Tamandua tetradactyla: one gene and its partner. The protein of the gene in region 1 purifies or fractionates together with the protein of each later gene. This does not show direct contact. Links are inferred from orthologs where the notes say so. Each region holds a gene or a part of one and is shown on either strand. Other genes may lie near its edges.

Region 1 (7,576 bases):
AGATGACAGCACCAAGAAATTTATATAGTTTGTTCGACTAGGATAACAGGAACTGATATACGGATACTTACTGGTACTCAAAATGTCCTGATGAGAAATGAGATCATTCAGTGTCTGTGGCCGGTATTTTTCAACCCTGAAACACAATTTAGTATGAATTACAACATATATGAATGCAAGCACGTTTTGTGTTTGCAAAAGAATCCTTTCATACCCTAATTAAAAAAAGAGAAACAGCAACCCACTAAATTTTAATACAGTCCAGTGGTTTTCAACCAGGGGTGCTTTTGTCCCGCAGGGAATTTTTGGCAATGTTTGGAGACATTCTTGGTTGTCACAACTGGCTACTGGCATACAGGGAGGCTGCTAAACATCCTACGATACAAATGATTATAGAGCACCTCACCACCACCCCCAACACAAAGTATTTGGCTCAAAATGTAAAAGTGCTGAAGTTGAGGAATCTTGTTCTAATTCTACCTTTCTACCTATCTGCCTATAATCTCAACCTGCACTGACTATTTTAAAGTGAACTCAAAATTGAACTCCTACCCCAATTCCATCAACAGATGAATGGATAAACAAAAGGTGGTGTCTCCAGACTTGGGAATATTATTCAGCTATAAAAAGGAATGAAGTACAATGGAAGCTACAACATGGATAAACCCTGAAATCATCAATGCTAAGTGAAAGAAGCCAGATACAAAAGACCACACATTGTCTGATTCCATTTACACGAAATCTCCAAAATAGGCAAATCCATACAGACAGAAAGCAGATCAGTAGTTGCCAGGGACTGAGGGGAAGGAGGATGAGAATGACTGATTAACAGTTTGGGGTTTTCATTTGGAATGATGAAAAAACTCAGGAACTAGATAGTGGTGAATGTGCTTAATGCCACTGAATTGCATACTTTTAAGATAGTTACAATGGTAAATTTTACATTATGCGGTTTTTTTTTACCACAATTTTAAAAAAATGCACTCTTTAGGTAGCCTTGTGTGAGAGCTCGGGGCCCAGAAGCTATGTTTGAAGCAGTGGGCACACCAACATGTCCCATGGTTCCAGCACAAGTTTTGACTGCCACATTATTGTTTTTTCACCTGAGGGCCGCCTCCACCAAGCAGAATATGCTTTTTTTTTTCAGGCGCATGGTCCGGTAACTGAACCCGGATTTCCAGCATGGAAAGCGAGCATTCTACCACCGAACCACCTGTGTACCCCAGAATATGCTTTTAAGGCTATTAACCAAGGTGGCCTTACATCATACATGTCAGAGGGAAAGACTGTGCAGTACTTGTCACAAAGAACAAAGTATCTGACAAATTATTGGATTTCAGCACGGTGACTCACTTATTCAAGATAACCCAAAACATTGGCTGTATGATAACAAGAATGACAGCTGACATTAGATCCCAGGGAGGGAGGCTGCTATGAGGTATAGAAACGCAAGTATAGCTATGAGATTCCTGTGGACATGTTGTGTAAATGAACTGGAGATATTGCTCAGGTCTACAGAGAACGCTGAAATGAGGCCTCTTGGATGTTGCATGATTTTAATTGGTATAGAGGAAGAGCCAGGCCCTTAGGTGTGCACCTGTGATCCTGCAGGTTACTACTGTGGTTTAAAGCCACTGCAGCAGGAATTAAACAAACCAAGTCAACCAGCTTCCTTGAAAAAAAAAAAAGTAAAGAAGAAATCTGATTGGACATTTGAACAGACAGTTGAAACTGCAATTACACACCGGTCTCCTGTTCTATCAATTGATTCCAAACCCTCAGAAATAGAAGTTGGAGTTGTTACAGTTGAAAATCCCAAATTCAGGATTCTTCCAGAAGCAAAAACTGATGCTCACCTTGCCGCTCTAGCAGAGTGGGACTAAAGAAACTAAGTACTGTAATTTGTTTTCTGAATCCATGAAGCCACTTGCCTATGCGTTTGGTAAAAACAAACCAATATTAGGGAGGCCTCTGTATTGAAAAAGGAACCTCTCCACTCCTACCCCTGAAGTGATCAGGACTCTATAAATAAAAACAGTGCTTTATTTGGGGGATTGCGTAGGATGGAAAGGGAAATGCAGTCATTATACCAAAACAATTTGGAGTTTCCAAAATCTGGCCAAATACAACCAAAGCATCACTAAGCATATGGATGTGGAAGTAGGATGGTTAAGAATGCAGGCTCTGAATTCAGACCGCTTGGGTTCAAATCCAAGCCTATTTTCTGCCTTTAGGACCTCAGGGAAGTCATTTAACCTTTTTAAGGTAGTTGCTTCATCTGTAATATGGGAATAATAACAGTACCTACGTCCTAAGAGGTTGTAAGGATCACAAGATTTAACGCACGCCAAACCTCGAATTGGCTGTGTGTCGCAGCCGTTTTATAAATGGTAACTAAAAGGCGTTGGTACTTTATTGTTTAGCTTAGCTTAGGATTTGACCAATAACGGTTTTGAAGATTTTGGCTGTCGAAAGAGATGAGGGTAACTGGGCATGGAAACCAATGAAGGGAGTCAGAAGACGTGGGATCGAGTCCCTGTGCTGTCACCAGGTGCAAAAACAGCGTTCCTCTTCGGCAAGGAAACTGAGGGTGAGGGGAGACCTGGCAAAATTTTAAGGTCCTGAACAGAATGGAGAGGGATTGGAGAATTGGGGGATGTCAAGGCAAACCTGTGTGAGTTCCGCCCCGGCCGCAGGTGCGCAGGAGGGGTGAGGTGGGCCCGGGCCCTGCCACTTTCTACCCCCACCATCCCCTCCCGGTGCCACTGATTTATCTCCCACTGCGACCGCAGGCCTCCTCCTACCAAGGTAGGTTTCTGCTCTTGTTCGCCGCAGGCTGCTGCTGCTTGAACGCTGAGGTCTCCATGGTGGAGTGGGGTGGTGCAGTGACACGGTCCGCGGCGGTCGTCGATCACCCCCAAACGATTGCACAGCTCCCCTGCGCAATCAGACCCTGGGACCCCAGCACTTAAGAGTTCGCGCGCAAAAGCAACTCTCGCGAGACTTGCTTTCCGGCTTCCGACTTCCTCCTTCGGTCCCGCCCCTTCCGTTGCTAAGGAGCGGGTTGCCTGGTTACCAGGGGGCGCAGGCCGCCTGCCTCCCTCCAGCTCCGCCCTTGGAGCCCGCGCTGTGCTCTCTCCATGGCAAGCAGCTTCTGAACCCAGACAGAAGGAGCGGGAGAGGCGAGGCCGTCCCCTGAAGCCGCCAGTCATTATCATTTCAAGTAAGGGTCTCACGGTCAAGGCCAATTGAGCCATCCTCTGACACATCATCAAGGTTCAAACACTTACTGTTCAAAGAACCGAAAGCTGCCGGGGCTAAAAATTCCGGAGGAAAAAACAACTCAAGTGATGCGGCCAGTTCTTGAATACAGATGCCCATCTATAAAAAGGCTCCCAGTACCTTTTGCTCCCATGGTTGGGAGGTTCAACTTGAAGTTGAAAATCAACCCCAAACAAACACAACTCCAAACTGCCTGTCTCCCGAAGCCTTGTCTCACCCCCAACAGAATTTACAGAGGATGAACTTCCAGAAAACAACCCCAGGGTGAAAACGAGACAGGGCCCTAGTGATCTGAAGATACTGAAGAAAATCGATATCAAAATGTTGGTGCTTTTTCTTTAACCTGAGGGGATAATGAATCATTTTTTTCTTTTTCTTTCTTTTTTTTTTTTTGTTGGCTTGCATTTCCCAGCAGCGAGCATGTATTACATCTGTAATAAAGTTGTTTTGTTCTTTTTTAACAATATGTGCAGAAAGGCAGGATTTACTGGGAGGAGATGAGGCTGGTCCTGGTGTCAGTAGAGTTCTGATGGAGACTTAACTGCATTCTTTGCACCTGATTACATCACTGCCACCTGCTTTAGAACAGGATAGAGGGGCAGTGGGCAAATATAAGGTAGCAGGTATACCTTTATCCTGGCTCTTACCTGGGGACCCAGAAGTAGCTTCAGATGTAGCTTGTGGTATGACAGTGCCCCGATCCCCTGCTTCCTCTCAAAGGCAACTTTAACAAGGGCAGCTGGGATCGTTTGCATGCCATCTTTTCCGCTTAGTCTTGGCCAGGTTGCTTCTCTCCAAGAATGCCTTCTCCAAGGTGGTTCTGAGGATTAGATGAAATAACACCTAAAGCAGCCGGCATAGCCCACACAGTGCCATCTCAGTCTCCTTCCTTTCTAACACACTTTCCGCTCATCCTGCTCTTGTTTCAAAGACCCCTCCCTCCCAAATCTAAAGGATTGGATGGCATGACAATGTTACAACTGGCCAGCTGCTGAGAGGCCTTTGCATTAGAAACATGAAGCCACCACATCCTTGAGCTGGAAGGTGCAAACAAGATTGGAACAAGATTGCTGGGAAGTGCAAGCCAACAAAAAAAAAAAGAAAGAAAGAAAAGAAAAAAAGTGATTCATTATGCCCTCACGTTAAAGAAAAAGCACCAACATTTTGATATCGATTTTCTTCAGTATCTTCGGATCACAAGGGCCCTGTCTCGTTTTCACCCTGGGGTTGTTTTCTGGAAGTTCATCCTCTGTAAATTCTGTTGGGGGTGAGACAAGGCTTCTGGAGACAAGCAGTTTGGAGTCTGTGTGCACCTGTTGTTCAGTTTGCTTGGGATGCAGGATTCTTCTGGGTGATGTTATATCACATATTTACGAAGTCCTCTATTCTGTAGCTCCCTAGTGGATTGTAAACTCTTTGAAAGCGGGGCATTTGACTTATTCAGCACTATACTCCTGGTACCTGAACAGTGCCTGGCTCAAAGGAAGCATCATTCATTGTTCAATGAATGAATGAATGAATGATAATAACTAATATTCATTGAGTAATTACCATGGCCCAGACATGGCTCCAAGTGTGTTGTATTTATTATATTCACTCAATCCTTGAACAAGCACAAGTTACTATCATTGGCCTCATTTCATAAATATATAAAGTATCTTGCTCAAATTCTAAGCTCACAAAAGGGGCAAAACTGGATGTTAACAGGACAATCAGATTCCATAGCCCAAACTATGGAACTACATTAGTGGTTCTCAAAGTGTGGTCCTCAGTCCCACTATATTAGCATCCCAGCAGAACTTGTTAGAAATGCTAATTATCCCTCCTCTCCCCCAAACCCACTGAATCAGAAGCTCTGAGGGCTGGGCCCAGCCATCTGTGTTGTAACAAACCCTCAGGGTATTCTGAGGCACTCAAGTTTGAAAACCACTTCACTATTGCTTCTCAGTCCTTGAGCTCTACATGACTTCACTTTCTAAGAAAAAGAATGGGCAGCCACGTGAGTACTCTGGAAAAGCAAAGCTATACTAATAAATGCCATTTGTAGGGGGGGGGGGGTCTTTGCTTGTTCCTGTTTTTGCTATTGAGTAAAGGTATAGTCCTTTGGGAAAATTACTTCATAGCTCTTTGGACCTCAGTATTTGCACCTGTAAAGTGGGCAGAGAGTAAAGAGTAAACTAGATCAGTGACTCAGCCCTGGCAGGACATTAAAATCACCAAAAATGCCAATGCCAGAACTCCACATCAGACCAATTAAATCTGGCCTCAGGACAGGACCAGGCATTGGCATTTTAAAAACGCTCCCAGGTGATTCTAACATTCAGGCCAAAATTCAACAAACACTGAAAAAGCCTATTATGGCAAACTTACTACCCTTGCCACTGATTGCCTTCATGTAAACACATGACCCAGTTCTGCCCAGTGAGAGTGAGGGGAAGTCAGCGGGTGTTTCTGGAAGATTTTTTTCTCATTACTAAGAAAAAATTTGCTGATGTTATCCCTGGATGATCTTTGGGTTCTTTCCCAATACCAAAATGTTATCACTTTAAAGGAAAAGGGAGCAATACAGACCAGAGTTACAGACCCAAATGCCTGGAAGTTAATACAAAAAGAAAGAAGTTCGGGAGGAAAATCTGCTCTGCCTCAAGGGACAGAATTTGTGGAAGGACGGCTTCAGCAGAACAGGAATTTGAGCATCAAGATATTGGATAGCTTGCAGACTCTCAAGCAAGGCTGGGGAACTTCGCTTGGAAAATGGGCAGGGACAAAGACAGGCCATGCAACCGAAACCATGGTCAAAATTACTCCACGGAACCAATCTAGAAAGGAGACTGCTGCTGCGGTCTCTGGACCCTGTCGCTTCCCACGCCCCCACCCACCTCCAGAAATTGGATCTCACTTTCATCACTTCCACTGCCAGAAAGAATTCTCCAGTTCTTTTCTGTCCCGGGTTCTTCCTAAAACTAGCTCTCCATCTAAAAGCCTAGGGGCACATGCCTAATTGGCCAAGCCTGTGACTCAAGCTTGTGAGTCCCAGGTTTATAAGTTTCAACGGTGGGAAATGACATCTGCCTCGCACCATGACCACAACATGGGGACACCCCAAAACATAGGGGAGGGGTTCAGATGCTGGAAGCCAAAAGTATCATTAGCATCCATTATGCAAGAATTCAGCCAAAAGGGACAGCAGCCAAAAATTGCCAGTTCTGATTTTTTTCAAGAGAAACCAGAACTTTGGATTTTTGTATAAAATACCTGCATTTTAAATGTTGGCAGCTAATTAGAAAAAAAAAAAAAACACTGCTAGCCAAGCAAAAACACTGTACAGGTTTGTGACTTTTGATTTCAAGGGCAAATAGGCAGGCAAAACATGTATTTCTTCTTACCTTCACCTGTCTGATTTTTAGTCCTTCTGGAAGATTAAAGAGCCGGTATCTTCATGTGAGTCGTGACGTTAATGAGCACAGGCTCAAACTTATTATATCATTGAAACCAGATTTCAAAATGCTTTAAATAAAGGATCAAGTCCTGGAGATGGCAGGATCAGACATTACAAACAAAATTACCAACGAGAAGTATTTGCACTTGAAATTGGATTAGGAAAGGGGAGCCCTGGATTTTATTACTCTCAGTTTGGAACAAACTTGGCTTTGGACACAGCACTTAACTGCCTTCGTTTATTTTTAAGACTTGTTCATAGGAGGGAATGGGATGTGAGGCTATCTTTGGAAGATGCTGGCAGAAGAAAATCAAACTGGGTCCTTCTCCTGGTGAAATCATGTTTAAATGAAGAGCAACAACTTGAAGGAGGAATAAGTCTCAGAGGACAATTGGAAGAGTAATACAAGGGACAGAAGGTCCTTCTTCTTTGGTGACATCCACAATCTCGTGGATTGATTGGGGCTTTAAGTTTTTGGGTCTTGGAGGCACTGGTCCCCTCAACTACTTTCCCTTGTCAGAAGCCCAAGAATTCCCCCCATCAGTCCGTAAGGACCCTAGTTCACCATACCCTAAACATTTGTTGATTGAATAACTAATGCATATTTATTTATCGGTTCCTGAATCTGATTCTACATCTGAAATTGAAAGTATGACTTGCATGCATTTTCTCCATGACCACCTGGGTTCAAGAAAATTCACATTTCTTCATTTCCCTAATTTATATAGCTCTGGTTCAAGGTCTTCTGCCAATGCTCCCTCAGCCAAAGTGCTTTGGAAATTCAGTCTCTTGGGTTTTAGGGGTTAGGCTTCTTCCCTTCTCTAGGATTATTCAGGAGGCCTGGGAAGTTACAGG
Region 2 (7,411 bases), on another chromosome or scaffold:
TTAAACCTATATTTAAATTCCAGTGCCCAATGAGTTGTACGCTTATAATTTATAAGTGTATTTTTCATTATATAAAATGTTCACACTAAAAAAAAAAATTCCAAGGTCACTGTATTTATGAGTAAATGTATCAATCTCTCACAGCTTCTGTTTACTCTATGAACCATGAATAGCATCACCAATTTTACAGAACTTAAAATGAATGTATTAGATAAAATATGTCAAGTCTGACACATGATAGGGACAATACAAATGTTTGTTCCATCCCTTTTTAACTTTTATCTAGGTAAGTTTTAGTTAAACACATTATCCTGGCTGTACTTAAAAAAAAAAAAAAAAAACAAGAACATGATGAACAAGCCCAGGATCCCACAATATTTACTAATCAAACAGAAAATATAGTAACATCACCAGAAGAACACTTACTACAAGTCTGTTATTTTAATTTGCTATTAAAACAACCACTATCTTCCTTCTACATTAGTGATTACACTCACAGCATAAAGATTACTATAATGTTAGACATGACTATCTTTTTTGTTGATCATAAGTTAGTAATCTATATATATATTTCTATATATTATAAACAAATTTTATTATGATAGAAAATAGATATCAACTTATTGGGTACAAAAAGTTCCATTGGTTTTTTCTTTAATTCTCTCTTCTCTGTTTGTTAGAATAAACTTATCAAAATAACAAGGAAATTCTTAAGAGGTAATGAATAGGAGAATTATACTTCTGGAAACTTAATTGTATTATACAGCTATCAAGATTAAAAGTGTAGTGCTGATACAGGCAGATATTTTAATGGAATGGGTTAAAAAACTCAGAAACCGTATAATATATTTGCTATATATAAAATAAAGTAAATATTTAAGACCTTAATATATGATACTAATAGCAATCAAGTTAGTGGAAAAAGACACAGTTAATAGTATTGGGACAAATTTCTAACCTGAAACAAAATAAGATCAGACAAACTAAAACCGTATTTGTTACAATGAAATCATAAATACACTAGAAGAAAATACTGATGAGTATAGATACAATCCTGAGACAATATTAGAGGCACTATACTACAGCCTGTGGGGTCAGATCTACCAGCTGTCAGCTCTGACATCTACTGGGTGTGACCTTAATCAAATTAAACCTGCTGTTTTTAAAGAGTTTTTCCTTTCCTTCCCTTAAACTTCTTTATTTTGAAATAATTTCAAACTTATAGGACAGGTGCAAAAATAATACAAAACCAATAAGAGAACTCCAACATACCCCCACCCTTCAAGATACCCAGATCCACCATTATTAACACTGTACCAAATTAAACTTTTTAACCTTCTTCTCCTTTGTGGACTCCATCACAGGGTTGATATTAAGCAATATTAAGCAATAATATTTATAAAGCCCTTACCCTTACCATACAAAAGTAAGTGTCATTATAATTATACAAGCTCTCTAAGCAGGCTACCAAAAGCAGAAAACATAAGGAAAAGATTGATAAAACTGACCACACACAAATCAAAAACTGTGTAATTCAACTACCAAAAGACCATCACAAAACCTGAGACCAGCTGAGAACTGCCTTGATTTAGCTAATTAGTAGCTAGTATCAGCATAACTATTTTCAAGCATACAAAAGTCACTCAACTCCAAAAAATAATAATAATTAAATAAAAACAAAAAGAGGGGGAAAAAGGGCACCCAACTCCGAGAAAAAAGAAATGGTCGCGGTTAAAAGTGTATACATTTTAGGGCGGGCCACCGTGGCTCAGCAGGCAGTTCTTGCCAGCCAAGCCGGAGACCGGGGCTCGATTCCCGGTTACTACCCATGCAAAAAAAAAAAAAAAAAAAAAAAAAGCCTAAAAAAAAGTGCATACATCTCGGCTCACTTAGAGGACACCAGGACACATATTTCAGTTAGAATGCTAACCTGAGATGAAAAGACGTAAAAATATAGCAACTGTTTACCTTAAGATGCTAGCCCACTACTTAAGCGGCACTAGACTCTCTTTATAATGAATGCTTAGTGCACTTCACTAAAACTTGACAAAATCATGAAATGTCAGTATGCCACACTGAATTTCTAATTGTAGCATAAGAACTAGGGCCAGGAGAAACTGATTTTTTTATTAAGCACCTTGTTTAATTCCAGTACTGACACTAAGTGGCATTCCTAAAATAGACAGAAGGATAGGCTAGGTGAACTTTAAAATCCTTTTCATCGCTAAAGTCCTATGGCTCTATATCATGAAACCAGAACCTGTCTCTCGGCTACCCCATGACATGTCACAAGTCCAAAACATCATGTTCCACGAACATGTCAGGCTCTGGTAACTGGCCGAATCATCATTCTAAATCCAGATTTACCGTGACCCCCCAAACATCGCACAACCGCAATGTTTGTCAAGACAACTCTAAAAAGAGACACAGTCTAGGCACAAGATCATAACTTGGGGGTCTCACCATGTCCTTCCCTTCCGCCTCAGAGTTGCAAAGTCGGGATCACCTTCCACCCACCCAACCCCAACAGCCGGAGAAAGGAACTCGACAGACACTCGACCGCACCTCAATCTCGTAGTCCTTCACTGGAGGGGGAGCAGCCGCCGCCGCCATGGCAAGGACCCCTACCATGCTCCCTGCTTCCCAGTATCCCGGTTCCTAGGAGCATTCGCGAACCGGACTGGCCTGCCTGGAGGCCATGGGGGCGGCCTGCTCCAGGAGGAGAGCCGAGCTGGGTCTCCCGGTCCGTCTCGGATTTCCCTGCGCCCACCCGCCGAAGAGCGCGCGGAGCCCGGGCCGAGCTTGGCCGAGTCGAACGCGGGAAGAGGGGAAGAAAAGGCGCGGACGGCGAGACCCCTGGGGCGCGGCCAGTGAGCGCCGAGTGCCTCCTAGGCGGGCGCTCTAGGGTGAGTCTTCAAGGCTAGAAGGGTCCGGGCGGGGAAAGCTGACCGAACGCAGATCAGTCCTGAAAGGTTTAGCAGGAGTTCTAGTCAATTGGGTTTTCGCGCCGTCCGGCGCGCGGGGGGCGGAGCTTAGTGTTGCTTCCCGAGATCTGAACGGACGGTGAGCCAAAGGAGCCAAAATGCTTCTCTTGGCGAACTGGCCCGAAGCAGGATCTTAGTACCGAGGAATTTAATGTCAACCGGAATTTTAAAGATTCGAATTTCTCGTGACTTAAAGTCCAATTTCACATGTAAGGACTTGATTTGACTTGGATCACCTAGTCGGCGATAAAACTAAAACCCTAGACTCTTGACGCTCCAGGCCGGATCCTTTTTTAAAGTGGAAATTTTGTTAAAGAAGTAACAATTACTATATTCCTATCACCCAGTATATGTTAATTATTTGGCGTGAGTCATACCTCGAGATAAGCCCATTTGGGGTCCGAGATTTTGGCTTTACGTTTATACCCCGAATTTGGCTAAGAAGACTTGTTTTCCCTGTGGATTTCGTCCTCTGAGCAGTGTAGGAGTCCAAGCAGGATACCAGTGTTTTGCTGTTAGTAGTAATGATAACCTTGTTTTCATTTCCATTGTTTTTATGGATTTGTTTAGTCTTTTTTTCTTTTACGTGAAAGTTGCAATTACATAAACATAATGAATGTTTGTTGGAAAGCATAAGTTTTTAACTGACGGGTATGTAAAAACTGAATCAAGTGTGTAGGAGCCGACAGAGAGAAAGGACATAATCAAGTAATGATGGGAAGCCACCTGTTCCAGTGTTATGCAAAGTGTTTTTAACTACTGAAGTATTTGTGACCATCTTTTAGGGTCTTTGTTGCTGTCTTATCAGAAGTGGGAGGTAATTTGTGTGGTAAGAGCACATACAAATGTTTCCCTAATGAAATTAATGGTAATTACGTTTTCTTTGAAAATTAGCTCTGAATAAGATTTTTCAGGAGGAGAAACACTACTGCTTTAATGCTCTGTTCTGTTTCTTTAATGTTTTGCTTAATGTTAATGTTTTAAAAATAATGTTTAATGTTTAATGTACTGTTCTGTTCCCTTGTTATATATGTTTTATAACTCAGGGAGTATATGAACATTGTCCCAAAAAAGAACAAGAAAAATAAATGAGAAAATTACAGGAAAAAAACCTAAAAATTTCCTTTGACTTTTACCCCTGAACTTGATCTTCTCCCTTTCTCCCAGAGGTGGCCACTATTATTTATTTGGTGTGTACTGCTGCAATCTTTTTCATAGCTTTCCATACACATATGTATCCATAGGAAATCTTTACTTTTGTTTTTATGTACAAAAAAATTATAAATAAATGGTGTCACTGTAGATATCACTCATTTGCTTGTTTTTTTTACTCAACATTGTTTTCAAGAGCTGTTCATGATTCATGTAGACCTTGTGCTGGTTTGAACGGAAGTATGCCCCCTAGAAAAGCCATATTTTAATCAAAATCCCATTTCATAAAGGTAGAATAATCCCTATTTGGTACTGTATGTTTGAATCTGTAATCAGATCATCTCCCTGGATGATGTGATTTAGTCAAGAGTGTTTGTTAAACTGGATTAGGTGACAACATGTCTCCACCCATTTGGGTAGGTCTTGATTGGTTTGCTGGAGTCCTATAAAAGAGGAAACATTTTGGAGAATGGAGATTCAGAGAGAGCAGAGAATGCTGCAGCACCACAAAGCAGAGTCCACAAGCCAGCGACCTTTGGAGATGAAGAAGGACAACGCCTCCCGGGGAGCTTCAAGGGATACAGACTGTGCAACAGGACTAGATACAAAAATGCAAAAATGTACAGCACAATACTACCTAATTGTAATGTAATTATGTTAAAATACTGAATGAAGCTGCATCTGAGCTATAGTTTTTTTTTGTTTGTTTTTTTATATATATTTTTTGTATTTTTTATTTTTATTTTTTCTCTATATTATCATTTTATTTCTTTTTCTGTTGTCTTGCTATTTCTTTTTCTAAATCGATGCAAATGTACTAAGAAATGATGATCATACATCTATGTGATGATATTAAGAATTACTGATTGCATATGTAGAATGGAATGATTTCTAAATGTTGTTAGTTAATTTTTTTAATTAATAAATAAATGAATAAATAAATAAATAAATGAAAAAGAAACCCGAAGCCAGGAGAGAAAGCTAGCAGATGATGCCATGTTCACCATGTGCCCTTCCAGCCTAGAGAGAAGCCCTGACTGTGCTCACCATGTGCCCTTCCACTTGAGAGAGAAACCCTGAACTTCATCGGCCTTCTTGAACCAAGGTATCTTTTCCTGGATGCCTTAGATTGGACACTTCTATAGAGTTGTTTTAATTGGTACATTTTCTCGGCCTTAGAACTTAAACAAGCAACTTATTAAATACCCCTTTTTAAAAGCCATTCCGTTTCTGGTATATTGTATTCTGGCAGCTAGCAAACTAGAACAAATCTCATCTATTCCCTTTCATTCCTGAGTTTTCTATCCAACTATGCACCACGTTTTAATTATGTATTTCCTTAGAGATGGACATTTGGGTTGTCTCTAATTTTCTGTTACTCAAGCAGTGAGTGAATGAATATTTTTGTCTAGGTCCCCTAAACACACGTGTAATGTCTCCCTAGGATAAACATCTCAAAGTAAGTTATAGGTTATGTCTATAGGCTTTTTATCCTTCTTGAATGTTATGCATTTGTACTGCCTTGAGTTGTTATCATATGCACTGAGTTTGTTTCTAGATATGTAATTAGTATTTTACACAACCCTCATTTAGGAACTCATGGTATTTATCAATTTTAAATTAAATGGGTTCCATGTTTGTATAGCAACTTAGAGTTTACAGTTTGTTCGTGTCATTTAGAGTATCTTTCCTATTTTTTTCATAAACCCTACTTTAATTATTTTTCATTTTTAACAAAGTAATGCCTACACTTTGTTAAAAACATCAAAGAACATTTTAAAAAACATAAAAATATAGCTATTTCACAACCTGGGTCTCTTTCCCATAGACAACCAATTTCAACACTTCACAATATAAATAACTTATTTTTTAATATATAATATGTTTGTACAGCTATTTCTTGATTTAACTACATTAAACATATTCATTAATTTCCTGTTGTGGTGACTGAGAATTAAATTCTCTTATACCACACCCTTCACACTTTCTCTCCTTCCCCCCTTCTATTATATTTATATGGCAATTTTTTACTAACTCAATCATCAATTTTGCATTTTGTGATGATGTAAATATTGTTTACAACTGATCCAAGTGATTTACTTTCGCCTCCAAGTTTTTTTCTTTTCCTGGAATTGATAAGTACCTCCTCTTTTTTTTTCTATTTTATTTTGTTTCTATATATCTATTACCTGCTGCCCAAGAGGAGAGTCAAAATAATCAATGAAAGGTAGGTCAAAATACCAAAGAATCAACAGATTCTGGCACTTAGGGCTAGAGGAGGGTCCAGAGGCCCCCTGCTTTGCCAGGCATTAATCCAATAGTTTTCTGGTCCTGGGGGTTGTGGGTCTGGGGAGTCTGCTGCCTCTTCACAGGGGCCTCCCAACTGTCAATATGAGGTGATCTTTCTCTGGGACCATTCAGTTTATCCTCCAGTTTCAAGAACTGTGGAAGAGTTGTATATCTTGCAGTTGGGTAGGGGCTATTTGAAGAGGTCACCTAACTGCATGTTATAGAACTCTGGAACTGGAAGATGTCACTCTGATTTTAACTAATACCCTCCTTTTTCAATCCCATACCTCAGTGTCACCATCTGTGGTAGTCCATCATTCCATAAATAGCGTGGAGTTCCTACTATATGCCAGGCACTGTTTAGACACCGGGAAGCAGCATGAACAAAACAGATAAAAATCCCTAACCTCTTGCAGTTTACATTCTGATTGAAGGGACATATAATAAAATTGATAAATAAGTAAAATATATGGTAGGATAGGTAAGGGTAAATGCTGAGGAGAAAATAGAGCAGGAAGTGGGATAAGGAAATGAATGCCAGGGGAAAGATTGCAATTTTAGAAGGTAGTCAGGCTATGCTTCAAATTAGGCCCAAGACTTACCCCCAAAGAACCTCTTTTGTGGCTCAGACGTGGCCTATCTCTCTCTCAGACAACACGGCAAGTAAACTCACCGCCCTCCCACTCTCTACGTGGGACATGATTCCCAGGGGTGTAAACCTCCCTGGCAATGAGGGACAGAAATCCTAGAATGATCTGGGACTCAACATCAAGGGGTTGAGAAAGTCCTCTTGACCGAAAAGAGGAAGAGAGAAATGAGATAAAATAAAGTGTCAGTGGCTGAAAGATTTCAGAGTCGAGAGGTTATCCTGGAGGTTATTCTTACACATTATATAGATATCCCCTTTTTAGATTAAAGTGTATTAGGCTAGGGGGAAGTGCCTGAAGCTGTAGAGCTGTGTTCCAGTAGCCATGTTTCTTTAAGAT

Evidence for each region. Proteins that work in one complex are often made in the same cells at the same time.
Region 2: the proteins of RFC5 (region 1) and ATAD5 purify together in Homo sapiens (affinity purification with mass spectrometry; 4 studies listed by BioGRID and IntAct, counting the BioPlex papers as one, with this or other methods). This does not show direct contact. The link is inferred for Tamandua tetradactyla from reciprocal best matches to the Homo sapiens genes RFC5 and ATAD5.

Annotation. Positions count from the first base shown.
Region 1 is NC_135331.1:18,313,101-18,320,676, reverse strand, and holds the start of RFC5 (replication factor C subunit 5), read right to left. Parts: upstream 3,010-7,576; 5' UTR 2,867-3,009; coding exon 2,805-2,866; intron 1,884-2,804; exon of another isoform or gene 1,227-1,883; intron 1,155-1,226; exon of another isoform or gene 1,052-1,154; intron 137-1,051; coding exon 72-136; intron 1-71. UniProt on the Homo sapiens protein: Subunit of the replication factor C (RFC) complex which acts during elongation of primed DNA templates by DNA polymerases delta and epsilon, and is necessary for ATP-dependent loading of proliferating cell nuclear antigen (PCNA) onto primed DNA.
Region 2 is NC_135332.1:50,843,333-50,850,743, reverse strand, and holds the start of ATAD5 (ATPase family AAA domain-containing protein 5), read right to left. Parts: upstream 3,016-7,411; 5' UTR 2,632-3,015; coding exon 2,566-2,631; intron 1-2,565. UniProt on the Homo sapiens protein: Has an important role in DNA replication and in maintaining genome integrity during replication stress.